7 linked regions of the Nothobranchius furzeri genome follow. The protein of the gene in region 2 interacts with the protein of the main gene of each other region in a biochemical or structural test. Links are inferred from orthologs where the notes say so. Each region holds a gene or a part of one and is shown on either strand. Other genes may lie near its edges.

Region 1 (4,210 bases), on a different chromosome or scaffold from region 2:
ACTAGTTTTCTATATACTTGACTCTGCCTGAATTAATACGAATTTTGTTAATGGTCCCTAAACAAGCAAAAAATCCTAAACTCTTCTGTTTAAGCATTCAAAGATCAATTAGGTTGATATTTCATATTTATTTGGAATCATCACATCTTATTGGTCATAATTAACTACGTAGATCCATTACAGCTTTCCTACATTGGCTGCCTGTTAAATTCAGAATAGATTTTAAGATCCTCCTTCTCACACATAAAGCTCTTAATAATCAAGCTCCATCTTCCATAAGTGACCTGATTATTCCATATGTTCCTAACCGAACACTTCACTCTCAGACTGCAAGTTTGCTGGTGGTTCCCAGAATATCTAAAAATAGGATGGGAGAAAGTTCTTTTAGCTATCAGGCTCCTCTCCTGTGGAACCAGCTCCCAGCTTTAGTCCATGAGGCAGACACCTTGTCTACTTTTAAGACTGGACTTAAATTATTTGATAGGGTCTATGGTTAAAATCTGATGTTAGCCCAAATCTGGACAAGTGAGGGAGTAGAGGGAGGTGGAGTGTACAGTCGGTAAAAACGACTCTCCCTTGCCCTGCCTCCAACATGCTTCCACCTAAAAGGCTAGGTTATCCAGAGTTATCTCTGTAGTTATGCTGCTATAGGCTTAGACTGCTGGAGGACACACTGACCACTTTCTACACTCTACAACTTTCTTCTACAATTTGCTCTTTAACTGTATTACTTTCTGCTATTTCAGCTGTTTATGTTTTTTCTCTAAGTGTTTTTCTCCCCAGAAGAAGCTAGAATGATGTTCTGCTGAGCTGTGGTGGCCTCATGGAGGGGGCCATTGGCTTGAACACTGTTGCTAACCACTTAAACATTCTCCCTCTCCTGATAATACAATTTAACTTTCTTTGACATTGAATGTGCTACTACTAGTTTACCCATTTAATTATAGATTCACTAGGATAAATACAATAAAGTTTATCTCTCACCAAATAGAATATTTACTAAGAAATCACAATGTAACCATAGAAACACTACTTGGTATATATGTTGTGTGGTGTGTGTGTGTGTGTGTGTGTGTGTGTGTGTGTGTGTGTGTGTGTGTGTGTGTGTGTGTGTGTGTGTGTGTGTGTGTGTGTGTGTGTGTGTGTGTGTGTGTGTGTGTGTGTGTGTGTGTGTGTGTGTGTGTGTGTGTGTGTGTGTGTGTGTGTGTGTGTGTGTGTGTGTGTGTGTGCTCTGTCTTCTCCAGCCCCAGTGAGTCGTGGTGGATGGCTGCTTATTCTGAGCCAGGATCCTCTGGAGGTTTCTTCCTGTTAAAAGGGAGTTTTCCTCTCCACTGTCGCTAAATGCTTGCTTAGTATGAGGATTGCTGTAAAGTCACTGACACTAGTTAGTGACTCGATGCAATTTGCTGGGTTCCTTATGTAGGAAACTTTTAAACTGGTATCCTCTTTAACTGGTCACATGTCTGTTGTGATACTTGTGCTTTCAGGGATGATAGTTAAAGCAGGAACTGACGACATCAAGCTGGACTTTGTTTTATAGCTCAGCTGCTCACACGCCCAGTGATCACTTTGTTTGCTCGGGTCAGCCATCGCTGTTCCAATTCTGTGGTCAGAGGAGGCAGCAACACATTCATTTGAAAGATGTCGAGGTACCACAAGGCAGCGATCGATGGTAACTTGGACCTCTTGAAGGAGGCAACAAGGAAGCACCTGAACACCGCAGATGATGATGGGATGACTCCCACCCTACTGGCTGCTTTTCATGGACACGTCAACGCTCTTCAGCTCATATGCAGCAGAGAGTAAGTTACTTTCTATTATCCAACCAGGATTAGTCTGAAATCAGGCTGTTTGTGGATCAGAACTCTGTCTGTTATTATGATCACTGCTATTCACAAATGAATTATTCCTCCCTAGAGAATTAAATTAAGATTAACAATAAGTCATAAATAACAGCAAAGGAGCAAAGGTCAGCGTTACCGTAGAAGGTGTTTTATGGCTTCTTTTTCATTCAATTGATTTTTATGGGACTTTATTTACACCGGTTGATGTTTTCCATCTTTCTTCCACATTCTCCTTTGAGCAGAGCCAAAATTTTTTATTTGTTCTGTAAAACAAAAGAGCCTTTCATTCAGCCATCTATCCCCCAGTACCCCCACCTTGGCTCCATTAACAGCAACAAAGGACTGGTTAAAATCTAGCCTGAGACCCAGAGAATATGTTTGATACATGACCTAAATCAGAAGTTAAGTCTTTTTATCAGAACCAGTCAGATCTGGGCTTCATAATAAACTCCTGTAGCGATTAAAGCTTTTATGGCTCCAACAGGAAGGAAAACCATTAAAGGCCTTCCAGTTTAACAGCTCAATAGCAACAGCTCATTCTGTAAACCACTGATTTTAACACACTTATTATGTTATAACACAATAATATTGTGGTTTTTATTTTACTTTTATATTACACAACACAAAGGGAGATTTGTGAAGAGACTGCTTTTTGAAGGTTATCGAAAAGTAAAGAATAATAATAAATGAATAAATAAATAACTATATTTCCCATTCATTTATAAATAAAATAGTTTGATCAGCAAAGCACAAGCATGTTGCCAGCGCTCTTAATGATAAACACTCAGATTAAATACATGGAGACGTGTTTAACCAACGTGTGTCTACTTTTTTTTATTATTTATTTATTTATTTATTTCAAAGAACAAGACGAAAATAAGAACAAAAACATGGAATATTTACAACAACACACACAGAAAAAAACAAAGAATGAAAAGGAACAGAGAGAAGAAAAAAATCTTATTTTTTTTTACTAAAGCAACATAAAATTCATCCCCCTCAACAAATTCAACTTGCACACTCACTTTGCAGACACCATCTTAATTCATATTTATATAATTTCTTAATACATTTAATTTGACACCTTTTTAAAATACATTAAAGAGCAAGTCACCCCCTACCAGAGTCTTACTCCACTCCCACTTCCTGTTTGAAAATGCAACAAATGCCGTTGCCTGAGGGCGAAGCCGCTAACAAACACACACACACACACACACACAGGCTCACAATGGCATTGTAACATCACATGGTACCAGCTGATGTCATAGGGTACCTCTAAGCCAATAACGACAGCAGATTAAAATACACATGCAGTGCTGAGTTTTTACCTGAAGATGGCGCAATACTGACAGTTTGGCAGAATTTTTAAATTTGAATTAAGATGCACTAAAGTGCCTAATTATTGACTACACATGTCTACAGCATGATTAGACACTCATTTTTTTCAGTTTATCAGCAAAAAAAGTTATAATAACTAAGGGTTCGAAACTCGGTTGTAGACTTTCTGCGTGGAGTTGCATGCTCTCCCCATGCATGCGTGAGCTTCCCCCACAGATCACAACATGCCCTATAGGTTGAAACATTGTACGTCACTTTGTACGTCTGCCAAATAAATAAACATAAACATAAATAAAGGGTTACATGGCTCTCTATAGCGAGTGTTACTGATGGCTTTCTGTTAATGCCATTATTGCCATTGAAGTTAGATGTTTTGTCCTAAATCCATATTGTTCATGGTTTAAAATATTATTGTTTTCAATCAATCTATCCAACCTTCATTGAAAAAAAATATATATTTTAAACCTTGAACAGTATCGATCTGACTTAACCACTGATGGTGCTGTAAAAGTCTATCTGTTGTGAGCTCAAATACAATATTTATCATTTCCTTTGCATATAAACACTTTTTTGTTTTTATTCAAATACACATTTTTGCACAGATAATGTTAACTACAAAGAAGAAAACATTATTAATATATATCAGAGTTGGAAAAAACATGATGAAAGTTATTTTGTTCATACAAAAATTAATTTTACTAACTGACAACAATAATAATCTTTGTTTTATCGTTTTTGCAAGGTTTTCTCGACATCTATAATAAGGCCTACTTCGTTTTCATTCCTTTCTCCTCTGCATCTGTTTTGAGCTGCAAAAGACACGTTGTTGAGCTAAACTTTAAAGTTAAAATATGGAACACTTTTCTTATTTTTTAAATAATACCCCCACAGGGCGTTTAGAGGTGCAGGATGAATGTACAGTTTCTCCTTTAAAAGCTATATTTAAAAAATGCATAATCAAATTTTTATTTTGTTGGGCATGACACTGGCTTTATGTTTACATCTACTGGAACAGGGTGCTGAAACGT
Region 2 (3,500 bases):
GATGACCTCTAGTCTAGTGGAGTCAGATTTCACATGCAGGCTGACCTGAGAAGTCCCAGACATTCAGGACCATTTTCTTCTTGTCCCATTCTCTGATGGTCCAGTCAGAGACTTCAACACCAACAGAACTCTGCTTTGAGTTTGGCTGCGAGCGCTTGAGCTTCATCAGCTGCCTGATCAGTGTGGTCTTCCCACTGCCCGAGTTGCCCACCACGATGAGCTTGATGCGATAATACGGCACTGACTTCTTCAGCCGCTGCTGCAAGAACCTGAGAGGTTAGATCAGACACAGCAGATAAATATTTGTGTTCTGTTTATGTCCCTGAAGATCAGATGAATCTGTCTTCTTCTGTAAATAATATCAACAGCACAGCTCCTCCTCTGACCTGACTATGTCTTTAGTCTTGTTTCCAATGAGTTTCAGGTCCAGCTCCAGTCGAAGGCCATCCAGCGGCAGATCCCACAGCTTGCTTAGTTTTCCCATTTCATCTGGGAAGGATCGCAGATTGGAGTTCTGGCTGACATCTAGGGACGTCAAACCCTCCAACAGGCCGATCTGTGGAGGGATCTGGATCCAAACATCACAACAATCTGTCCTCTGTTATGAAACATTCACATTAAATCCTGTGTAGGGTTCTTTACCTCAGTCAACCTGTTGTCACTCAGGTGCAGTTTCTCCAGTCTGGTCCACCTGCAGACTGGTCCACTCACATCCAGAACTTTGATGCTGTTCTGACTGAAAATCAGCTCCCTGATGTTACTGGATGCCCAGAAGCCCGGACCCGGGAGAACCGTGATGTTGTTGGTTCTCATGTCCACTGATCGCAAACTGAACAGACAGACAGAGACGGAGGCCTAACGAAACGTTTACTGAAAAGTTCATTGAAAGAATTTCCCTCTTACTGATAACATCCTAATAACTTTTGCAGACGTTCATGTCCCTCCCGAGTGTGATGCAAAATGTGTCCGTTTATTAGTAGATGCAGCAATCTCAGAAAGTGAGGGAATTTTAGTACGCGGGGGAGATTGGAATACAATACTAAACAAATCAATAGATACAACAATCTTGAAAGGGTACCAAAGGCAAAGATCAAGAACACTCAAGTCATTCCTAAAAGAGTCAGAGCTGATCGATGTGTGGAGAGACATGCACAAACTTGAAAAAGGTCCCACACATTACTCAGCTGTACATCAGGTTTACGCGAGATTAGACTGCTTCCTCATGAACTCTCTCAATAGACACGGAGTGATTAAGTGTGAAATTGGGACATCGGATGTTTCAGACCATAATATTATAAGTCTTATCCTTCACTTGAGAACGGGGGTAGGAAACACTACTTGGAGACTAAATGTAAGTATACTTAATGATAAATATCAGACTGAAGAGTGTATGAGAGAAAACAACACTGTCGAGGTTGAGCCAACTATAATATGGGATACAATAAAAGCAGTAATGAGAGGGAAGCTTATAGCAAGAACAGCCTACCTAAATACGATAAACAAAAATATGAGGAATCCATCTAATTATTAAGGAATTTAGAAAGAACACAGCCAAAGAAAACAGACGAAAACCACCTAAATCAGATAAAAGACGTCAAGAAACCAGTTGACGAAATATTACAAGGAGAAATAGAGAAAAAAATTAAGATTTACTAAACAAACATTCTACGAATCAGGATGTAAAGCAACTAAAATGTTGGCAAAACGTTTGAGAACCCAGCAAACGCGAAATTCAACACACAAGGTAAGAAATCTAATGAACAATAAACTGCTATTTGAACCGGAAGAAATATCAAAAAGTTTTAAAGGCTATTATTCAAAACTCTACTCCCAACCACAGGAAAGTAATGAAAGTCTGATTATAGAGTACTTCAAAGATTTAAACTTACCCTCACTGCAAAAGGAACAAAACGATGCCTTAAGTAAACCAATCACAATGGAGGAACTAGAAAACGCTATAAACAGGTTGACATCAAACAAATTCCCAGGAAATGACGGCTTTCCTAGTCAGTGGTATAAAACATTTAAGACAACTTTAACCCTTATAATGTTGGACTCTTTTAATTGGACTTTGAATTGCAATAATACCACCATCTTGGAAAGAGGCACTGATATCGGTGTTGCCAAAGGAGGGAAAAACAAGGAACATTGTGATTCTCATCGTCCAATCTCTGTACTAAACGTGGATTACAAACTGTTTACATCCATCCTATCCAAACGTTTAGAGCAATATTTACCCACATCGATTCACGATAACCAAACTGGATTTATAAAGGGGAGACAAACGCAAATTAGCATTAGGCGAACTTTAAATATAGTGGAACAATATCATAATCAAAATATATCACTAGCACTAATTAGTTTTGACGCTGAAAAAGCGTTCGACAGTTGGAAGTACTTAAAAGATTTGGCTTTTGTACTAAAATATTAAAATGCATAAAGGCACTATATAGAGAATTCCAACGGGTCGAGTGAAGATCAGTGGACTCTTGTCGGACAGATTTCAGATATTCAGAGGCACCCAACAGGGATGCTGTCTCTGTCTCTCTTTATTTGCTAGTTATATCGAACCCCTAGCTCAAAACATTAGACAATGCCGGGAGTTAAAAGGGGTTCATTTAGCTAATGAGGTACATTTAATTGGACTTTTTGCTGGCGATATTATTATATAATTACAAAACCCAGAATTAACTTTTTGCAAACTTATTACTCATTTGGAAACCTATGGCAATGTATCAGGTTACAAAATTAATGTCACAAAGACACACAGTTAACTACATCCCAAATACCACTGTAGACACAAATACCAAATTAACTGGGACTCCAAATCTATAAAGTATCTGGGAGTGTCGATCGCCCACAACCTCAGCAAAACAAAAGAGATGAACTATAATTTGATAAATAATAAGATTAAAAGGGACTTGGATAAATGGTCAAAACTTATTTTAGATTTCAGATCTAGGATGGAAGTAGTGAAAATGAATCTGCTACCCAGATTCCTGCATGTTATCCTCTCAATACCTGGCTCAATCCCAGAATCTCAATTCAATGCATGGGATAAACAGATCTCCAGATTCATTTGGGCGGGCGCAAGACCACAGATTAAATTAAAAGCCCTTCAAGTGTCTAAAGAGAATAGAGGATTAGCCGTACCCAATTTATAAGAATATTTTTATGCGTCACAACTAAGATATGCAGCCTACGGATTATCAGGTGAGTTGGAAACGAATTGAAGAAAAGGTAGGGAAATATAAACCACAGAGAAAATTGGCTATTGAGGAAAACATGGACCAAAGGTGTAAGAATTGCATTGTAGAAGAAACCCTGAAAATATGGCGAGATATCATACAGAAATATAAGCTTGATAAGGACATCAAACTTCTGACACTGCCTCCTCATTGCCCTAGTTTTCAGCCGGCAGCCCTAGAAGAAACAAGGTGGAATGGGAGGGGAATGACTGCCATCTGTAAGCTCGTCCAAGGCCATTCTTTTAAAGGATT
Region 3 (4,076 bases), on a different chromosome or scaffold from region 2:
GTGTGAGAAACTTCTCTATCCTGCAGAAAAGGAAAGGCTTGTCCAGTACGCTGCTGACTGAGGGCCTCTCTCGGGGGTTTCGTTTAAACAGCTGCGCCAAGAGAGACCGCAGTTCTTGGGAGTAGTGAACAGACACAGGAGGGAATGAACCACGAATGATCTTCAGGACCAAGTTCTTCATGTTGCCAGCTTCAAACTAAAAGGAAACACACACACACACGACTATTTGTATAATGAATGAACATGTTTAAGACAATAGAGTGGAAATCAACAGCACGACATTTCTGAATGTCAGATTTGAAACCAGAGTGTTTGCAGCCAAGAGCAGAATATATGAGTGAACACTGCAGGACTACAAAGAATGCATTAAAATGTGCACCGATATGTGAACAGCTTACACACAAATACTTACTGCATGCTTAAGAGTGCACATTTCATAGAGGACACATCCTAGGGCCCAAATGTCACTGCAGAAGGAAGGACAGTAGGGAAATAAGGTACACATGAACAGGCAGGGATGGCAGTCAGGGAAGGTTTACGTTCACAGAGTAGGCTATTAATAGTATTTAATGCATGTTAAACTGATTGGGGCCTATGTGAAAACTCCTGACTAAGCACTGGAATAGTTAGAATGACTAAAGTAGACACCATGAACACCTAAAACAGGCAAGGAAGAAAACAGTATTAGCTTTCTGCAGTATAAGTATCACGAGGTGACCATGCTGACATCACCAATAAGCAACACAATCCTGCATGAACTCACTGTTAAGAGTGCGGATATGAGGACTAAGAGGTTCTAATTTAAAGAGCAAGTCACCCCTACCAGAGTCTAACTCAACTCCCACTTCCTGTTTGAAAAATGCAACAAATGCTGTTGCCTAGCAGACCGAGGGGGCGAAGCCACTAATAAATACACACACAGGCTCACAACGACATTGTGACATCACATGGTACCAGCTAACGTTCTAGGGTACCTCTTAGCCAATAGCGATGGCAGATTTAAATTCAAATGCAGTGCAGAGTTTTTACCTGACGACGGCACAACACTGACAGTTTTAGGCAGAAAATTTAAATTTAGACTAAAATGCACTAAAGTGCAAAACTACTGACGACACGTGTCTGCAGCGCGATTAGACATGCATTGATAATTTATTAGAAGACAAAAAAAGCTGATTTGGGCGTGACTTGCTCTTTAAATGAAGGAAACACCGAAACACTGTTGATTCAAACTCATCCATTACCTTTTGTTGTTGTATGGTTTGTTTTCACAAATCTCTGGTGATAAATAATATGGTGTTCCTATGCATGTCCTCGCAAGATCAACAGTGCTGAAAATGAGAGGAGAACAACGTTTTTGTTGTCTTAACAAGTTTAAATGTTGTCCTTACGAAAATCAGCAGAAGGCACTGAACACACCTATTCAAGACTCTCGCAATTCCAAAGTCACCAAGCTGTACGGTCCCATCTTTTGTCAAAAATATGTTCTGTGCAGACATATTGACAACATTAAACAAACAAATAAATAATAGAATAAATAGCCTGTAAACCACAGATGCACAGAAAACAGTACCTGTGACTTAATATCCCTGTGGAGGATTTTTCGATCGTGTACATGCTTCAGAGCGAGGCAAATCTGGACAAACCAATCCAAGATCTTGGAAAGACAGAAAAAGGGCAAACCAAACAAGGAGGTATCAAAACAGAAATCACCATCGCATAATTCATTTAACACAAACACAGCTATTCAAAAATAATTACTCCATAGAGTTACAGCATCAAAGCTTACCTGCTCTTCTGAGAACAAAACTCCTTTTTGAGAGTTGATCTTCCTGAAAAGGTCTCCACCTTCACAATAATCCATCACGATGTACAAACATCCCCCTTCTAAAAATTCGAAGTGATATTAAACACACACACACACACACACACACACACACACACACACACACACACACACACACACACACACACAGATTATTGTAGTACAATTATTGTATTTCATCACAACAGGTGAACTCTGAATTATGTAAATACCTTCAAAAGACTCCTTATACTGGACAATATTGGGATGACTCATGTTGGCAAGAACAGCAACCTCTCTGCGAGATTCCTGCCTCTCTTTACTTGACATCTATAAAATTATATACAACTCATGTAAATTCATGGATTAACATGAGGAGGTAACTCACCCATGGAAAACGTGAATTATGCAAAGCATCTTACACCAGATATGCCAATCTCCTTGATGACATACTGGTGTCCATCTTCTTTGGATTTCACCAGGATAGCCTTTCCAAATGAACCTTCCCCGATTTTCTTCACCTTTTCGTACTTGTCCATGTTACTAGATAGGCTGACTTTACATGCTGAATCTGGAAATAGGAAAGTTCTGGATGATCTCTGTCTCTAAGCTTTGAATTAAAAGTTAGAAAACAAATGTCATTCATTAATCACAATTCTACACTAGATAAAACAAAAAGACATGAAGGAGTCAGAGCAGTGATGCTGAGAGTCAACACTGCCAGGTAGCTAACGCTGCTGACAGCTAGCTAGACGATGATTGCTACAAAAAACAAGAGTCCCGCTCAAAACCTGATGATAAAAAACGACCCTTACGTATCAAAATGACAAATTAATTACGAGAATAACATTTAACTTACCATTAGTTCCTCCAATCCTTGGAGTTTTGAAGAGATTCTAGAAATCGCTGCTAGCCTCACGCTCGAGCTGATGACGATGACTTTCTTTAGTTTTCATTGGACAATTTGACATTTCTCGAAAAGTGATTGGTTCCTACAGCTGTTGATCATCTCTCATAACCAACCCCCAATAAGGTTGTTGCTGTGAACATTTCCCTTAGCAACCACCATACAATTACAATAGCTAGCCACCGTTGAGGGATGTCGTTAAGCTTCGGCGTTACTCACTTTTTTTTTTACTTGTCATGAATTCAGATACAGACATTCACACAAACTGTGTTTTTGTGACAAGCAGTGGCTAGATCAGAATTAAACTCGCTTGTTATGTACATACAACACAAGCGAGTAATGTTGATCTAGACCACTGAATAATTTAGAGTCCCTTCTGCTTACAAACATTCTTTTCTTTTAGCACGGAGTAACACATTCGTTAAATTATCGACGTATATGCTTGTTACGCGTTCAATGTTGATGAGAACATTGACTTATTGACCGATGCTGGCAACACACCCAAAACAACCGCCCCAATGATAAATTAGGGTCACGTGACTGGCTCACGCACTCCTCCGTGTTTGATATATTGCAGTCCGAGTCGATGCAGATGACGCAGTGGTGAGGACTAGTGAAGATGGCTCCTTTTCCAGACGAGGTGGATGTTTTTACTGGCCCACACTGGCGAATGAAGCAGCTTGTGGGTCTGTATTGTGAAAAGGTGCGTAGATATCAATTTAATTCGTTAATTTTGAGTTTTACAAATGAAACCGATCGTTTTTCTTACTAAAGGATGACTGAGCGCAGGTTAGCATGCTAGCTAGTTGATGTTAGCTGGTAGTGTGTTTAGCTGTGAACCGAAGCAGATGAACTGTCGGATGTCTGGATTGCTCCTACACACGGATTCACGTGTTTTTAGTTAGACTTGTGTGGAAATGCCTGAGTTTTACTTGCCTTTAATGTTGTTGTATCAGCTCTTTTGTAACCTACTCGAAACACGCCTCTTGTAGTTTTAGTTATGTTCCAATTAACAGAGCTACTTTGCTAATGGGATTGGAGAGCAGGTTGCAAGTTCTCTGCCAATACGTGTCAGACTAGCATATTTAGGTCACCACTGCAGATATTTCTGTTAACGCGGTACACTGTGCACAATTACGTGAAGCATCTGTTAGCATAACTATGACAACAGAATTAACAATATTTCAAGTTTCACTACTGACCTAATTTTAGTTTTTTTTTTCAGCTGTCTCAAACGAACTTCTCCAACAACAATGATTTCCGTTCCTTTCTTACGTCGCTGTGCGCCACCTTCAAGGAGTTCAAGATGCATGAGCAAATAGAGAATGAGTACATTATTGGCCTGTTGCAACAGCGTTGCTGCACGGC
Region 4 (4,179 bases), on a different chromosome or scaffold from region 2:
TGTGTTATTAACGTAAATCTGAAATAAATAAATAACAGGTCTGTTTTAATTAGGGATGCACCGATACCGATACTGGCATCGGTACCGATACCAGTATCGGTATCAGTGAAAGTTAACCGATACCAGGAACCGATACCAATGCAGTTGCTTGAAAATGGCTTCACTGTAACTTGTCATTTCTGTTCACCTAATATTTTAGTTTTGTGATGATTTCCATTCATATATTTTACTTTTTATTTACCTCACAGTCTTTTCCTGTTGAAAGCAGAGAAGAAAATAAAATCTGTATTCCATATCATTGCATTTTTTTGTGTGGTGGAAGTATCGGTATCAGTAATCGGCAGCGGCAAGTACCCAGATCCAAGTATCGGTATCGTATCGGTTTGGAAAAAAGAGGTATCGGTGCATCCCTAGTTTTAATCACAATGTCAGTTAAACAATGAAGCCTCTTTGGCAAAGCAGTAACAGCTCTGACCTCATTAAACTCTTAAAATAAACAATCTGTCAGATTTAAAAAAAAATCTAGTTTTGTTGGATTTATTCAGGGGCTGATCTACTGGGGTGGCAACTGCCTCCCTAAAGGAAAGTTTTGCCACCTCAGAAGAAGGCAGCAATAATTCATGAAATAGTTGTGGCAAATCAGACATTATGAATGTGAAAGTAGCATGTCCGATTACACCGATCATGACACAAGCTGATAAAATAATGACCTGAAATAAAAAAAACATATATGGTTATGTAAATACTGATGAATTAACAGGGAAAGAAATGTGTTTGAGTGAATAATAAAACTAAAGTTTAGTACCTTGTTGCAGTGAAACATTGTGTTGGTGGTGGCACAAAATGCCAGCCCACTCCAGAGTGGCTGTGGCTACATCGTAGCTTACCATCCCCGGCAGTGTGAACGTGAGAGTGTGAACAATATAACCTTCTGAGTGGCCTAGTGGTAAGAGTGTCCGCACTGGAACTGGGAGATCGTGGTTCATCGGGTTATCCCAAAGACTTTAACTCATTCACTGCCAGCCATTTCCTGATCGCTGAAGACCTTCACTGCCAGCATTTCTCGCCATTTTTACTGTTTTTTAAGAGTCACAGAACGTTGCGCGCTAGGATGATGTCGACGCCAAAACAACCAAAACAAAGAGGAGACTCACCTCTTAGATCAGGAAGAATCCGCGTGTTTCAAGCGTTATCCATTCTTTCATAATTCGTTGTCGAATTGTGATCGGCAGACGCTTTTCCGGTTCGCGCCTCATGTTTTTTTTTTTAAAGGAACAACCCAAACCGATCTCCTAACACATGGATTTTCTGCTTCCTGGTCATGTGACCTGTGACGTATGCGGATGAAGATCAGCTTCAGAGCTGAGACGTTTGCTTCTCGGCGCGGGGACTCGTTCCAATGCCCACACAGTAAAAAAATTCCAATGACGACTATTGGCAGTGAATGAGTTAAAAATGGGACCCAATGCCTCCCTGCTAGACACTCATCTTTAACCACCAAATAGTTCCCGAGTGCAGCCACTGCTACAGCTCACCGTTCCCCATGAGGATGGGTCAAATACGGAGATGTCATTTCACCAGCGTGTGATGATGACTAATGGGACTTTAATGGAATGCGCTTTGAGTTCCAAGAAAAGCACTGTATAAATCCAATCCATTATTGTTATTATTATTTCTTTCCATATAGTGCATCTATGCTGACCTTGGTACAGCTCAGTGCATAGGAATTCACAGACACATTTTTAATGGATAGTTTAGTTCAAAAGCTTTTGTGTGCCCAAAGAGTATAGTAATTTATGCTCCATTTTACCATCCTCAAAATTTTGCCCCCTTCTGCCACCCCGTACATGTTTTTCTAGGCCCACCACTGGATTTTTTTCTTTTGCTGCATCTGATCCCAAATTCCAGTCCAGTAGGTGGTCGTAATGGGCTTTTAAACTGGTTAGGTCACCGCCAATAAACTCAAGAGCACCGATTTGATCACGTGACTCAGATCCCAGTGACAAGATGTACAGAAGTCAAAGTAAAACCCTAAAAACGATTTTCACTTAATTGAAAATTAGTTATTGTGTTGCAAAATTACATTTACAAAACGACATTGGTCATATGCCTCAAAGCCACTTTTTAGTTTTTCACTATTCTGTTTTTTCAATGATCGCTAGTTAGCGTTAGCGGTTAGCTTCAGTATAGCTAGCTATCAGATGACAGCAGCCAAGCCGACCTCATGGAGTTAGCATGAACACACGCAACAACGCTGCTGTTAAATGGATTCAGGTCTCGTGCCACTGACCTTTTGACCAAGCACACAAACGTTAATGTGGAGTTAAAAACACACAACGTACCGCCCGGTGTGGTGCTAAAAAGGGTCCCCCCGGGAGTAGTGGAGTAGTCGTGTGGCATGTGGTCCGCTTCGTTGACGGCCACTGTCCTGGTGGACGGGATGGCCTTGGCATTTGTCTTCTGAAAGTCTGTGGACATCTTCTCTCAACTAAAAAATTAAAAGTAACTAACTGGATGACATGAAACAAGAAGAACGTCTGGGTTTGACAGAACAAAGCCAGAGGAGTGTTAGATTTGGCTCAGCAGCAGAACGGTCGCCTTCTGATGAATAAAAATAAATATCTAGATTTCATGAGTGCAAACTATGGCGATTAAAGTTAGCCACATTAACACACGCGCTCTCACTCAAAACGGGTCGAGGATGTTTGGTGAAAAAGGACCTCAGCAGCACCCGTTTCTCTGTTTCCACATGCACACAAAACAACACACAGACATACGCAGGCAGACCATCAAGGCATACAGACAGGCTGCTGCAGCCCTGTAGGGAGAACGCTGTTCGGTGCAAACTAAACGAATTTATTCCGCCATCTACTGGTGCATACTAGGCTACAGAGATTAAAATAATAATAATAATTATTATTATTATTTTTAAAAAACTATGTATTTATTTTCACCTCATTCTATTTGAAAATTTTCTTAAATACAAAATCTGCAGACACTGTTCCAGATTTTCACCTTTTAAGGAACGTTATATTGCGTTATTATGCTTTCAACAAGAAGATTGCCTTATTCTAGTCCGCCTCCGAAATGATTTTAAATCATGTCAAGTTGACAGATGATTTATTTAAAAGGAGCAAAATCAGTAAGTAAATCCTGCTGTCATCTTCTGCTCAAATATAATTATTGAATTTATTCAGGTGTGTGTGTGTGTGTGTGTTTCTTCGGCATTTTAATGTATTTTCAATACAATTTGCTTTTAAAAGCCCTTACATAATTGTTTTATTTATTCTGACCACATTCCTAGCTCTGAGATGTTAGATCTATAACTTCACAAGTTTTAATAACACAAAGAGAAGCTTTTAAATCAGATTCAGATTTCATGAATTTCTTTGAATTCATGTTTCTTTTTTGCAGCACGTCTATAACAGACTTCCCCCAAAGCTTGATGCATCTCCTGGCAGGATGGTTAAACGAGCGAAGATCTACTCACTGTGTCAGTCAGGAAAAAACACACTTCAAAGTCAAGAAACGTCATTTAAAGACATGAAAAAAATTACACGCAATACGCAAAGATGTTTCATTTCTTTATTAATTTTTGTAAATGTTGAGCTGGTGTACAGAGTAAATTGTCAACAGATGCCCTCAGATTTTGATTGGATTAAAAGGTTTTCACATGTATATTTTATGTTTGACTCTCCATGACAATAAAAAAGCAAACAAAATAAGTTAAAACACCCACAAAACCCCTATTTATCCCCAGGTTGCAGGCATTACCCAAACTTAAAAGTCTCTTAGTAGCTACAGCTGTATGATGCAAAAAGGACATCCATAACATAACAGGAATCCCAGTTGACAGGGGTGCATAGCATTCTAAGTAAATATATATATTTGTATGTTTCATATATATAGCCATTTTTATATTAAAAACTTTTTGTGCATGTGCGCAGTTGCATTCCTTAGTATCGAGTAATATGCTATTAATAATGTCTTCAATCCATTCTAAAGGAATATACATGTGTTCTCTAGTTTTTGCAAGAGTTAACATTTTTGCATGAACTTGGTGCATGTTTCAGCAGTCCATTGCAGGGCTCCTCGTCTCACTGGTGTAACCACAACACGCTCTGCTTTGCACCAACTTGGACTCTTTTCTAGCATCCAGACCGTCACAATGTGGAAGCC
Region 5 (4,258 bases), on a different chromosome or scaffold from region 2:
AGTTTTTATGCTTGCTTTAAAAGTTTCATGTCTCAGTACACATCCATCCATGTCTGCCTTTTATCTTGAACCAAGTCAGATGGAAACCTGTTCAGCACCCCCAGACCTCATATAGTTTCATCTTTAAGTTGATTTACTGACACAAATGAAATTTTGCACCAGATTTCTTTTTTCCAGTTTCACCTGCATCTCTTGAAGTTTTCTGGTGCGTTTCTGAATTCAATCCAATTTTTGTTAAATTATTTTTGGTTTGAACTATGGGATGGAGCTGGGGTGGCTGGATGTTAGTGCAGGTGAAGGAAAATCATAGATAATCACGGGTCCTTTTTGTCATTCACACATTTCCTGACTTCTCGTATGAGTCTTTTGCAACTGATCCAACAACCTTCTCTGGTGAAACTGGAGACTGAAACGGGCCTCTTCCAGTCCCAAAGCACTCACAGGTAGCCCAGTCCCCTGGCAGCAGTGCTCCTTACCTGCATTCGGAGCAGGACATTGTAACTCCTCTTTACCCGGACTTCTGCACATGAGAGTCTGGCTAATACAAATGTGGTCAACAGTTAACATGGGTTGGAGTTGTTTGGATGTTAGTTTGTTCTAAGAGTGTAAAACTAGACCCAACATGGCAACCGCAGTCTTCTGACCAACAGTCGCGGACAGGAGTGCTAAGGGGACTGAGCCCCCTAAACGTCACATCTTAGAAGCACCCCTGCTGGCAGATCATGGATTTGATTGAATTTCTGCTGCAGCTAGTGAGGACAGGAATTCAATTCTACCTTCTAAACATGCAACTTGCGAGCATCGACCGCAGGTCCCCTCCCCCAAGCTGTAACGTCTCTTCCACCTAGCTGTTGCAAAAGCTAAAACACACACTTTACTCTTCTCGGTGGAAATTTCTGTGACATCACCTCTGAGCTGCAATGGTTACCAAGGTGACGGGATATTTTATAATTTATTATGTAGCTATATTAGATTTTAGATGTTTAAACCCTAATTTATATGGTCTGCTGCAGCCATGCGCTGCCTGTAAATGCCCCCCACGTGTGCTGCAGTGCTGCAGCACTCTGCAGTGATCCGTCTGCTCATCTGGTCACGCCTCAGCCTGCTGCAGCTCTCTGAAAAGGGCCAGCACATCATGATTTGACACAAAACGCAGTTTAGGGAAATAATAGAGATGCCATTAATAAAGAGATATGACAGGATGAGTCCCAACTGCATCTCCAGATCAGGTTCTAACCGAAACAAGATGCACTTTACACACTAAGAAGGAGCATTTTAGAGAAAGAAACAGGCAGGCAGACGTCCATCTGTGATTATTTTGGGGGAACGAAGATCACCCGCAAACTGACCAAACCAACACAAGCTCTGCGAGGGAGAGGACAGACGTGCACAGGTGCTGCTGGAAAAAGGCATGTGAGAAGAAACAAGTAGAGAAACAGGCGAGTAAAGCAAACGAGAGGAGGAGAAAGCCAGTGGGGGGAGTGAGATGAGGCGTAGGAGGAGACTCGACTGGCTGGAGAGGGGAAAAGAAGCCGGAGAGCAATTCTGACACAGCTGTCCGGCAGGCGTCCCAGTCGCCAGACGTGCAGCCCTATGACAGTGTCAGCAAACCTCAGGAGCACTTCATTCAGGAGCTGCAGCCTTCACCAAAACACAACGACACCCCCTCCCTCATCAGAGCATCCCAGGTGAGTGGCAGCATGTTTTATCTCAGGTTTCGTGCCATCTTGCATCAGTACAGAATGTGCAGCGGGATCTAATGTGCGCCAGAACAGTGGACATGTATGGAAACGCTGGTCTGTCTACATCTATGACAGGAATTTGGCAACATGATCTTCTCCGGCTTTTCCAAGAAAGACATTTTCAGTCCAGCTGCTGGCGGGAGCATGCTTTTCTCAACTGCAGAGTGTTATTTCTCAAGAGGAGTGGGTTTGAGGAGGCTACACTCAGAAAACGTCTTATTTTCTGCTATCGTGTTGACATTCTCGTCATGTTTCATTCTGAGTCCTGCTCACATCTGCCAAGGATAACTCTGGCAGTGCTCGCGGGTGGCACCAGGGCAGTGAGACGGAGCACAGAACCAATACTCCACCCTACTATCCACTCACAGCACCAGGTTCCTCAAAAGTCAGACCTTTGCCTGTAATTGAGGTTTATTTCAAGCAGCTCTGTCTGTTTTGTAAGGCTGCCATTACCCTCTGTGGTATGTGCCTTTTTAAAGCAGCCTCAAAGAGAGGGTCTCTCTGGGCAAAGGCGTGACCCGGGCCGAGGCCACGCTTAGATGTCAAACAAGCACTCAGAAACTCCCTTCGAGCTGCTTTTCGGAGATTGTGGGAGGAATTGTGAAACGCTATCCGTAACTGCAACAAGAAGTCCTGAAGCTCATCCAGTCATGGATGTTTTAAGGGATGCGTGGTTTCAGTCATGACCAGGCCAGCTGCTCCTCTGACCCGGCAGCAGCTGGAACAGCAGCAGGTTACCTCTCAGAATAAACTGACCCAATGATGTCACACAGACCTCTAGGTGTCCAGAAATACCCAGACAAATCACGAGCCGTTCATTAAGCGACTAGATGCCAGCTCTATATTTATCTGCCTCCACACTCTAGGTTTCATCACCTCCTGCTGCCCCACTGCTCATTTCCAGCCTTCAAACAACCAAACGTTGAGACAGCTTCAATTTTAAGGATGCTGGAGAGGCTCCAGATCAGCTCACACCCAGACAGAAAGCCGTTGACCCAGTGGCACGGTGGTTTTCTCCCACAGCTCCAATTAAGGCAGCAGGGCTGCCGAGGCAAGCAGTTTTAGGGGGAATCTGCCATCAGATCTCCCATTTCCCAAGATGTGCAATTGAAACCCAGGGCAGCAGTCGGTGGTGGCGGCGCCGCCAGGATTGCACCACCCCCGCACGTGCCATGTAGTCTTGTTATTGGAGTAGCTCCAAAAGGATGGTGCAAGTCAAGCGCTAGCTTTGAAGTGTGCTAGAATACACCTGTTCAGCTATTAACAGCCTGCAGGCTGGTCAGCAGCGGGGGTGCGCTGAGGGACGTCCGGAGTCCTTCAGCTGTGGAACCAACAAAGGCTTAGCAAGCTTTGTTGGGTCTCCGGAGGTTTGTGTAAATCGGTGATTTCTAATTGATGTGTGGCTGCAATGGTTCAGAGGAAGAGAACTGAGGGATCAAAGGCGGATCCTGTTCCTCGTAGCTCTTGGATTTCCACTCATGTTTGCTATTTAAGTCAAAGTGACCCATCAGCAGGAAGCCTGAAGGTCATGGATTCCAGGCCGGAGTCTGACTGCAACTGCTGCCGACTAACCGAAGACACACAATGGTCAGAAAATGAGCAAATCTTCAGTTACAGGGATCAATCATTGATCATGTCACATGGGGCAAAGAAACGTCCCGTAAAATGTTTTGTGACAAGCGAGTCACAAAGTGTCTCGCTTTACTAGTCAAAGATTTCTCAATTTCTTCCACTTTCTGACTCACAGGAACGAAACTGAAACCAGGTTGAGTTTGTATGGAAACTCAGATTTAGGCTGTGGAAATGGCGCCAAAAATAATTCACACTTCCTGCCGTTCTGAAGGCTGTAACCAAGTGTCGTGTGGCAGCGCTGGAGTCAGAGGAGGAGGCAAACGCTCTTCTGCACAGCATCCTGGAGGCTTCTGAATGACACCAACTCCATTTGGCCCTCCAGGCTCCCATAGCAACTCTTCTCTGCTTTAATAGCAGCTCTGTCTGTGTGTTCTTCGGTGACTAATAGATCGAAACAAAAATGGATTCAGATGCCGTTTGGGAGAGAATAAGGTGTTGATTTGAAAGTTCCTGCTTAGAATTTTTGATTTAATGTGACTGTAATGCAGACTGTTGATTATTAGGACCAGCAGCACTTATCGGCTGATATTCTGCTTCCTGAGGGCGACAGATGGAGGACGGTGCAGTACGGTGGTGCTGCAGGAAGCCGCCTCATAGGTCTGTTTTAGTTTCTGACTCCAGCAGGTCACTAAAGAGCTAAAAATCCGGAGAGATGCTACAGAGATGAGATGAAATCATTTTCCTTTCCTTCAGTTAAACACTGCAGCAGCAGCACCCCCCCCCCCACCCCCCCCCCACACACACACACACCTCTGTCTATTTCTCACCTTTAGTTAACACTTTCTCTCACCCTCACACATTGTCTATCTCCAGAACCTCGCATAAACACTCAAATTCAGTTCAACACACTTCTCCTACAGCACCAGAGCTCTCTCTGTGATGTA
Region 6 (4,135 bases), on a different chromosome or scaffold from region 2:
TGGGACACCTAACAGATCGTGTTGATTTTCTTTGAGGCATTTCCATAATTTCATGCTGGCTTTTATGCTGATTAGCTTCCCCGTTCCATTTTCCGCTTTCACCGCGGCGCTGCGCTCGGTTTCAATCAGGCTGTACAGCAGAATTTCCCCTTGTAGCGATGTTTTCCATAACTCTGATTGCTTCATGCTATAGATCGTTGGAAAGCTGCTTTTACGTACTTAGGAACTGTTGGAATTTTTTTAATCTGATCAGCCATTCAAAAGTTTTAAAACGGGGCATTTTGGATGACAAACTCAGCATATCTCTGAATCTGTGTTGTGATTGGTTGCACTCAAGACAGGGAATCCCGGTGGAGACCGTAATGTATTGCATATGCACGAAAAGCCCCATTTTTAATCTTTTCAGCACTTTTGGAATCTTAATGATATCTTGAACGGTTCAGGAATTATGGTAATGAGAAGTGCGCATGTCCAATCCCGTCTGTGGCGAAAGGATGGTAATAAGAATATTGTGGCATTAACAGAGGGGTGCCGGCAGTCAGGGCTAGGGGCCCCCCAACACAAGGGGGCCCCAGGTGGCCGCCGACCTATGCCTAATGGTAAAACCGCCACTGCCAAAGACACTGCACAGCCCCATGAGAAGTCAACAACTCAGACAAATACTGAGAGGCAAGAACATTTTGTTATTTAAAAACAAGTAACAACATTTTAAAATCAATTCTGTACCCGACCAGAAGCCAGCAAAGGCCTCAAAGAACCGGTGAAATATGGTCATACTTTTGGGTACCAGTTAAACTATACTGAGTATTGTATTGGTGGTATTGTGTACCAGGATAATGCCAGTACGAGTCAAACTGAGGAGGTCTACACGCTTACTGCAGAGGGGATGAATGACCTACGGCAGCGTTCTGTTTTACATCTGGGATGTCTCAGTCTGCCTCTGAAGGAGCTGTCCATGGTCTCCACAGTGGAATGCAGTGGGGTGGGACGGGCTTTTAAAATGGTGGTCATCTTCCCCAGCATCCTCCTTTCACACATCTCCTCAACTGAATCCAGTGGGCAGCTCAGAACTGAGCTAGCTAGCTTGTTCAGTTTCTTCCTGTCTCGGTCAGAGCTGCCTGCACCCCAACAGACCAGCAGAGTGGATAACAGAGCCAACCACAGAGTGATAAAAGGGTTCTAGCAGCTGGGAATTAACTGTGAAGGACCTCCGCCTCCTCAGGAGGTGGAGGCGGCTTTGGTCCTTCTGAAACAGAACATCTGTGTTGTTGGACCAGTTCAGTTTGCTGTGAACACCAAGGTACTTAAAGGTATCCACCACCTCTGAGGAGAACCTCGGCTAATTAGAACCATCTCCAAAACCTGGACATGAGAACCAGAGCATAAACATGTTTGCAAGCCTCCAGGTACTGTTTCAGGGATTCCAGAAGCTCACCTCCCCAAACACCTGGCTGATCTCTGGAGACGTGATGAAGTCTCCATCGGGTCCCAGCATGTTGTTCCTCACATAGTAACCCTAAAGGAGAAGACAGGTCAGTCTGAAGAGCAGCTCCAGTAGAAAAACCATCCTAAGATAGGACAAACAGGTCCATTCAGAACCAGCAACTAGAACTAAGGTCCAAACTGTCAGGTTCACTTAGTCTGGGCTCTATGAAGATAAACATGGACCTGTCTCATGTTTCTACTGTTGCTCTGACTCTAAACGTCCTGCCACAATTCGAGAAGAAATAAGAACAAAGTCCTCTCTCCAGAGGTGGTCTGATGATCAGCTGATCAGTTTGAAGGAATAATAAATAAAATGTTCTGGATAACAGGAATGTTACGTACCGTCACTGGGTTGGTTAGAACCTCCCTCATGTACTCAGCCACAGACACTGGACCAGTGGCTTTTATTTTGGAGGTCAGATGTTTGAGCATGGATGGCTGGGACTTCCTGTAGTCTGATGGAGAACTGCAGAAGATCCTGGACTGAGCTGACCTCCATGCCACTGTCCAACAGATTATTGATGTTAGAACAACTGTTTCTGAGCAGCGCAAAGACAACATTAAACAGAACCGATCAGAGTAGCTGCTGTTCTCCATCCCAGAGACCACCGGAACAACTTTTACTGTTCAACGTCTGTCTGACGCAAAGACTGAGATCCAGTTCTGACCTAACCCTAACCCATTGTAAGCCCCACTACATGACCCTACATTCATCCATTCACACTCTGATGGTGATGAGCTACACAGCTGCCCCTCTGTGTGTTTACCATTCCCACCCTACAACAAGATGTCTGACTTTAACAGCTGATGTTATTAACATCATGTTATTATTAGTGACGCATGAATGGAAGATTTGAACCCAACAGCACGGGAGAAAAGCCAAACAAGCTAAAAGTAACGCTAGTTCCTGTAAATAATTACCGTCTTCTACTTGGTAACGCTTTGATGCTGCAGAGTTCGTCTGAGCCTGACAAGAACCCAACCAGAACCAGAACCCTGACGAGCTTCTGTTCTACAAAGCAGCACTTGTTCTTACCTGTTGCAGGTGAGCTGACAGCGCGGATGAAGGCTCTGCTCAGCCTCATTCCGCCTTTGAACAGGTAAAACACACCTGTGTGCGTCACACCAACCAGTGAGCCGTTAGCATGACACAATGTTTAGCTGCTAGTTGAAGGCGGGAATTAACAAAGTTGCAGTCGGACTTGGGACTAAGCCCTCCGTTTTCAAATATGAACACAAAACTACTTAAAAAGGTAAAAAGTCGCAGGAGTCGCGTGAAAACGAGCTAACTGCTAACACAAGCGGCGCTTCTTCTTCTTCGTGTTTATTGGCGGGTGGCATCTGACTTCTAGTTGCATTTCCGCCACCTACTGTGCTGGAGTGTGAGTCGGAGTAAGAGCGTAAAAAAACTAAATTCTATTCAACAAACCACTGTGTTTTAGACTCAGTAACCAACTTATATTTCCTTTCTTCACCATTTAACAAATTCTTTACATTTATCACTCCACCTCCCATGTTTTTTAATTTCTCCCTGAGTTGTCCTCTACTTTCCTCATATTTTATGCAGTCACATAAAACATGTTCCACTGTTTCTCCCCCCACCCCACAAACCTGTGGGATGTTTCCCTATCAGATGCATCGTATTATTAAGCCCAATCTTGATATTATTCTTTGATCTCTACTATTCATTCCTATATTTTTCCATTTTCCTACTTTCCCTTGTATCTGAAATAAATGTCTTCCTTTCTGGAACCAGAAGTTCTGCTGGGTCCCGTATTTATATGTCGATGGTCCCGCACCAGAACATCTTTACTTCAGTGGCGTGTACAGGCTTTTTCAAATGGGGTGGCCCAGGTGGGGTACCAGTAAGTGGGGTGGGGGCACCACATCTGTATTATTATTTTTTTTGTATTCTAGTGAATTTGTGAGCTCTACTTTGTGTCACGTCCATTTTCTCCCCTCTTCAGGAACATTTTCTTTTCCTGTTTTCTGTAGGTTGTCTTCTCATTTGAACGGTTTTGTGGTGGTTCTTGGTGCACCACCACCAGCTGGAGTGGGATGAAGAGCAGGACTCTAAGGCCCTGTCCACACGTAGCCGGGGATCTGCCAAAACATAGATATTTTTCTACGTTTTGGCCTGTCATCCACACGAAAACGGAGTTTTTTCACACGAAAACGGATCTTTTTAAAAACTCCGGCCAAAGTGAAGATTTGCGTTTTCTCTGTTTTGGGTGTCTGCGTGTGGACGGACAAAACCGGAGTTTTAAGGTCCGCAACGTCACTTTCCGCGACACAAAAATTCTGAATTCACGTGTGCGACCTGTGTTTACACTAGCCGGCATCATGGAAGCCCTCGGCGCTGCGCTCTGTCACTACCCGATCCATCAATTGTCCAAGCGCTTTTTGCTGGTTTGTGTTTGCAAGAGGAACTACTGCTCCTGGCGCAAGACCACAGTCGATCGACGAGGTTAAGAATGGGGGAGGTACTGCCGCCTACAGGTCTGGCATGTCCTTAACAACGTATTTATCCGGGTACGTGTGGACAGTTTTGTTTTAAAACAAGGTGGTGTGGATGCAAGTTTTTGGAGGGGCGGATATTCGTTTTCAAAAAACCCCGGCTATGTGTGGACTAGGCCTAAATATTATTTAT
Region 7 (4,017 bases), on a different chromosome or scaffold from region 2:
ATAAGGCGCCAAATATTGGTGCGTCTGCAGAAACCAGAACACTTCTCGGTCTCCTCTTGGGTTTATAGTCAGATCTGTAAAACTAACAATGCCAGCATTATGAAACTCTCATCACAAGGTAGATGTGCTAAATAAGAATATTTGTGTTGTAAATGTTAAACTCAATTAAGTTGGTGAAATTATAGCATGAAAACTAAATGCGCCATATTTGAACATTTATACTTGAACAAGTAAAATAAATTAGGAATATTTTAATGTTTATGTTTATTTATTTAGCAGACGCTTTTATCCAAATCGTCTTACAAATTATAACCTATAGGGCATGTTGTGATCTGTGGGGGAAACCGGAGTACCCGGAGGAAACCCACGCATGCGGGGAGAACACGCAACTCCATGTATAAAGGCAACAGCCGAGTTTCGAACCTGCAACCTTCGTGCTGCATGCGAGACAACAGTAACAACTGCGCCACCATGCAAATCTGTTATTTTTAGACATATTCATAATATTCATGATAACATACTAACAAGTATGATATTGAATATATTTTACAGTTTTATAGTAAGATTTCTCTGGGAAATGAAGGCAGTCACTGCGCCAACCAATCTCACCATCAGTGATGATGATGAACAGGAGGAAGATGATAATGGGACAAATCCTCAAATATAAAATATTCTAATAATCTATACTTGATCCAAAATAGTATCTATTGTTCAATAACTTTTCAAAAATATTCCACAATGATTGCTTTTTCTTAAAAAAAATTCTAAATTGTTTAATAATTATGAAATATTCTGTATTTTTTAACAGTGATATAATGTTCTAAAATTAGCTAAACTGTGTCTTATAATGATCTATATTATTCAAAAATAACGATTATTTAACTTGTTGGATTTCTTTTACCAGAACAGGGCCAACGTCCATATTTGATCACTTCGTTTTCTCTGACTTTCTGCATGAAAATAAATAGTTTTGAAAATTGTAACAACAGAAATGCCTTTTGGTTATGGACTACAACAACACCCTGGGGTTGAAACATTTTTTTTAATACTTCAATGAGTGCCCTATAAAGAGTTAATAGCAGATCTGGTCTCATCTGTGTAAGATCAATATTATAAAGCCAAATTCCAACGTCATCAGCAGGTGCTTTTATTTTATGCACTTCTGTGTCACGTGACTTAGTCACGGCCAACGTCATCACCTTTCACGGAAGTCAGAGCTGTGACGATGGTGGCCTTGTCGGTTTATTCGCAGGAAGACAATGTTTGCTTTCAATGAAAAAATAACACCGCGTTAGAAAAGAACAGCCGGTGTAGTTTTCTCTGCGGAACCTGCGGGACCTTGGAGCGCTCATCGGCGGCCTAAACGGGCGCTGGACAAGAAAATACAAAAATGTCCCTCTTCCAGTCGGCACTGGATTTCTTAGCCGGGCCCGGCTCATCCGGAGCGGCAAGCCGGGACCAGAACGACTTCGTCGGCCAAGTCGTAGAGCTCGGTGACATGAAACTGAGGATCAAGAGGGTGATTGCTGAAGGTGAGAAACTGAACCACGACAGGAAACGGGACCGTAATCTCTTACAGACATGCTAGGTGGTAGCCGGATAAGCTAAACATACTAGCAGCATCAGTTAGCAAGTGCTGACCTGTGAGTCACCAAATCCCACTCGATCATTTTGTTTCTATCTAGTAAAAATTCATTTTGAATGTGTGAAATGTCTAAAGGAAGACCTGTTCAGCCCATCCCGCACGTTCACGTGACTTGTGTTGTTTATGATTTGGTGGGAGAACGCAGACATTGTAGGTTAAATTACCATAGTGCTAATATAATAATAACAACAACAACAACAACAACAACAATAATGAGAGATATGAGAGGCGTGTTGGTAAACAAACAGCCACATCAGAACAAGTGGCTGTTTCTGGTTTTTGAGAAACTCGTTCTGAGCTGAGATCTTGGGAACAAATGTACACCCCAATCAGAAATATGAAAATAAAGATTATTTTAGAATCCTGGACAATAATTTCCTATGATCCTGCAGCAGACACAGCTTTGTTTGTTTGTTCACAGCAAATTAGATACAGCGGTGGTGTAAAACTACTGAGCCTGTGTTTGTGGTAGCAACACAGTGTAATTAAAGTAAGTTTATTAAGAGTGGACTTTAAGCACATAAGATAAAATCTAAGCATCATTTTTTAAAGAGATTTTCTGTGTAAATATTTTTAAAGGAGCATTTTGTCCTTTAAAAGTCATAATTAACCTGTGTCTTATTTGTTTTCCATTTAATTTATGCACATATACTCTCAGTATATTTACATGAATCAGCATCTGTGTACTCTAAATGATGGAGTTGTACATGCCCACAAGAGGTTAAAGGGAAAGAACAAAACCTTTCAAATCCAAGCAGGTGGAGATCATTTTACTCAAACACTCTGCTTTTCCAACTCCCATGTTGCTGTTTGAAAGACGTCTTTGTTCGTTTTTACCAGGATCTTTGGTGGAACGTGCTACGAATAAGTGACCTGTAATATTCTTGTTGTCGGTTGTATAATTAAGGGTGGAATTTTTAAACAAGGATGCTTGGAAATCAGAAGAAAATGAAACTTAGGTTTCATCTCTCCTCATTGTTACAGGTGCTAGCGTGCAATACCAGTCTGCTTATTTGCTTAGTTTATTATTTCTTTACTAGCTTATCGTTTGCTGTTGCTTTTTAATTTGACTGAAGTGAGATCATGTTATTATAGGTGTAGATGTTACAGGTTTGAATCCCAAACAAGTTCAGGAATTTGGGGCTGGAGTCATGAAACCATCTTCCACACCTGGGCAGTCCCTCTTATGTAAATAAAGTGTTAAAGATTAGAGGCTTGAGCCTGTACTTCTAGTGATTTCTGTTGAGCAAAGCGGAGCTGGTGGTTAATGAACCCCTGGCTACAGTGACCATGCTGGTTTTCTTGGACCTGGTTGTGAGTAGGTTTTTGTTAAAGGTGTGTTTGACTGAAAATACAAATTTTTAAATGTTTTAAAATCCTCAAGAAAGGCGGTTGGATTTTTTTAATTGTCCAACCATCCATTCTCTTCCGCTGATCCGGGGTGGGGTAATGGGGGCAGCAGCCCAAACAGAGAGGCCTAGACTTCCCTCTCCCCAGCCACTTGGACCAGCTCCTTCGGAGGAATCCCAAAGCGTTCTCTGGTCAGTTGAGAAACAGTCCCTCCAGCGTGTCCTGGGTCTGCCCATGGGTCTCCTCTCATTTGGACTGGAGGAAAACCTCACCAGGGAGGCATCCAGGAGGCGCCCTAACCAGAAGCCAGAGCCACCTCAACTGGATCCGCTCGATGTGGAGGAGCAGCGGATCTACTCTGAGCCCCTCCTGGATGACCGAGCTTCTCGCCTATGAGCCCAGACATCCTGCACAGAAAACTCATTTTGGCCGCTTATTTTCACTTTAATGGCACGATAAAACTCCTCCTATTCCGCCTTCAGGATAATAAGTTACGGTCATGTCTACTAGAGTAATTGTAGTTGTGTGTTTGTTGAAAGACGCCTGTTGTGTTGTCACCGTACACTAAAGCTGAAGCAGGTTCTTTTTGTTTTGTGGCAGCAAAGCTAGTTTTTGTGAATGGCTCTGAGTTCTTTCATGAATTAAGCTGTAAAGAGATCAGGAGGACACTTTCAGTGCTTCTGTTCTACAGAAATAGTTTAAGTGTCAGTCTGTAACCGACAGAGAAGTCATGAATGCAGCATTTCTGTGAAAATGTGCGTTTTCAGCCATCCAGGGCCTTCAGGTTAGAGAAGTCCTGGAGACATGAACGGTGTTGTGTTTCCGCTCAGGGTCTGCTCAGCCGTGAGCGGATACGGTCTTGGTTACACGTTACCTGTGGTTCAGGTTTTCTGCAGGCTTTGTGATCCTTTCTGTGGCATTTTACCCTCAAATGCTGAAGAATCCATCAAACTGCACGATGTAGGCTGGCATATTTGATTAATCTCACTCTGGAAGCTGTTGAGAAAAGTTCCACCGAAGTG

Evidence for each region.
Region 1: the proteins of lrrk2 (region 2) and anks4b interact on a protein array, tested with the Homo sapiens proteins (2 studies listed by BioGRID and IntAct, with this or other methods). The link is inferred for Nothobranchius furzeri from reciprocal best matches to the Homo sapiens genes LRRK2 and ANKS4B.
Region 3: the proteins of lrrk2 (region 2) and nek1 interact on a protein array, tested with the Homo sapiens proteins (2 studies listed by BioGRID and IntAct, with this or other methods). The link is inferred for Nothobranchius furzeri from reciprocal best matches to the Homo sapiens genes LRRK2 and NEK1.
Region 4: of the proteins of lrrk2 (region 2) and eukaryotic translation initiation factor 4E-binding protein 1, one has a biochemical effect on the other in vitro, tested with the Homo sapiens proteins (3 studies listed by BioGRID). The link is inferred for Nothobranchius furzeri from reciprocal best matches to the Homo sapiens genes LRRK2 and EIF4EBP1.
Region 5: the proteins of lrrk2 (region 2) and cdc42ep3 interact on a protein array, tested with the Homo sapiens proteins (2 studies listed by BioGRID and IntAct, with this or other methods). The link is inferred for Nothobranchius furzeri from reciprocal best matches to the Homo sapiens genes LRRK2 and CDC42EP3.
Region 6: the proteins of lrrk2 (region 2) and ndufaf7 form a complex in vitro, tested with the Homo sapiens proteins (2 studies listed by BioGRID and IntAct, with this or other methods). The link is inferred for Nothobranchius furzeri from reciprocal best matches to the Homo sapiens genes LRRK2 and NDUFAF7.
Region 7: the proteins of lrrk2 (region 2) and gak interact on a protein array, tested with the Homo sapiens proteins (3 studies listed by BioGRID and IntAct, with this or other methods). The link is inferred for Nothobranchius furzeri from reciprocal best matches to the Homo sapiens genes LRRK2 and GAK.

The regions. Positions count from the first base shown.
Region 1 is NC_091752.1:56,799,427-56,803,636, forward strand, and holds the start of anks4b (ankyrin repeat and SAM domain-containing protein 4B), read left to right. Parts: upstream 1-1,410; 5' UTR 1,411-1,641; coding exon 1,642-1,802; intron 1,803-4,210. UniProt on the Homo sapiens protein: As part of the intermicrovillar adhesion complex/IMAC plays a role in epithelial brush border differentiation, controlling microvilli organization and length. Plays a role in assembly of the complex.
Region 2 is NC_091744.1:48,474,694-48,478,193, reverse strand, and holds part of lrrk2 (leucine-rich repeat serine/threonine-protein kinase 2), read right to left. Parts: intron 830-3,500; coding exon 643-829; intron 569-642; coding exon 387-568; intron 270-386; coding exon 46-269; intron 1-45. UniProt on the Homo sapiens protein: Serine/threonine-protein kinase which phosphorylates a broad range of proteins involved in multiple processes such as neuronal plasticity, innate immunity, autophagy, and vesicle trafficking.
Region 3 is NC_091748.1:39,057,581-39,061,656, reverse strand, and holds the start of nek1 (serine/threonine-protein kinase Nek1), read right to left. Parts: upstream 2,801-4,076; 5' UTR 2,661-2,800; intron 2,373-2,660; 5' UTR 2,341-2,372; coding exon 2,224-2,340; intron 2,132-2,223; coding exon 2,035-2,131; intron 1,885-2,034; coding exon 1,787-1,884; intron 1,655-1,786; coding exon 1,571-1,654; intron 1,485-1,570; coding exon 1,417-1,484; intron 1,329-1,416; coding exon 1,242-1,328; intron 468-1,241; coding exon 413-467; intron 197-412; coding exon 1-196. UniProt on the Homo sapiens protein: Phosphorylates serines and threonines, but also appears to possess tyrosine kinase activity. Involved in DNA damage checkpoint control and for proper DNA damage repair.
Region 4 is NC_091757.1:46,259,649-46,263,827, forward strand, and holds the start of eukaryotic translation initiation factor 4E-binding protein 1, read right to left. Parts: upstream 2,801-4,179; 5' UTR 2,479-2,800; coding exon 2,343-2,478; intron 1-2,342. UniProt on the Homo sapiens protein: Repressor of translation initiation that regulates EIF4E activity by preventing its assembly into the eIF4F complex: hypophosphorylated form competes with EIF4G1/EIF4G3 and strongly binds to EIF4E, leading to repress translation.
Region 5 is NC_091752.1:7,949,782-7,954,039, forward strand, and holds the start of cdc42ep3 (cdc42 effector protein 3), read left to right. Parts: upstream 1-1,458; 5' UTR 1,459-1,688; intron 1,689-4,258.
Region 6 is NC_091742.1:17,055,007-17,059,141, forward strand, and holds the start of ndufaf7 (protein arginine methyltransferase NDUFAF7, mitochondrial), read right to left. Parts: upstream 2,801-4,135; 5' UTR 2,571-2,800; coding exon 2,522-2,570; intron 1,989-2,521; coding exon 1,828-1,988; intron 1,517-1,827; coding exon 1,436-1,516; intron 1-1,435. UniProt on the Homo sapiens protein: Arginine methyltransferase involved in the assembly or stability of mitochondrial NADH:ubiquinone oxidoreductase complex (complex I).
Region 7 is NC_091757.1:57,439,124-57,443,140, reverse strand, and holds the start of gak (cyclin-G-associated kinase), read left to right. Parts: upstream 1-1,217; 5' UTR 1,218-1,390; coding exon 1,391-1,532; intron 1,533-4,017. UniProt on the Homo sapiens protein: Associates with cyclin G and CDK5. Seems to act as an auxilin homolog that is involved in the uncoating of clathrin-coated vesicles by Hsc70 in non-neuronal cells. Expression oscillates slightly during the cell cycle, peaking at G1.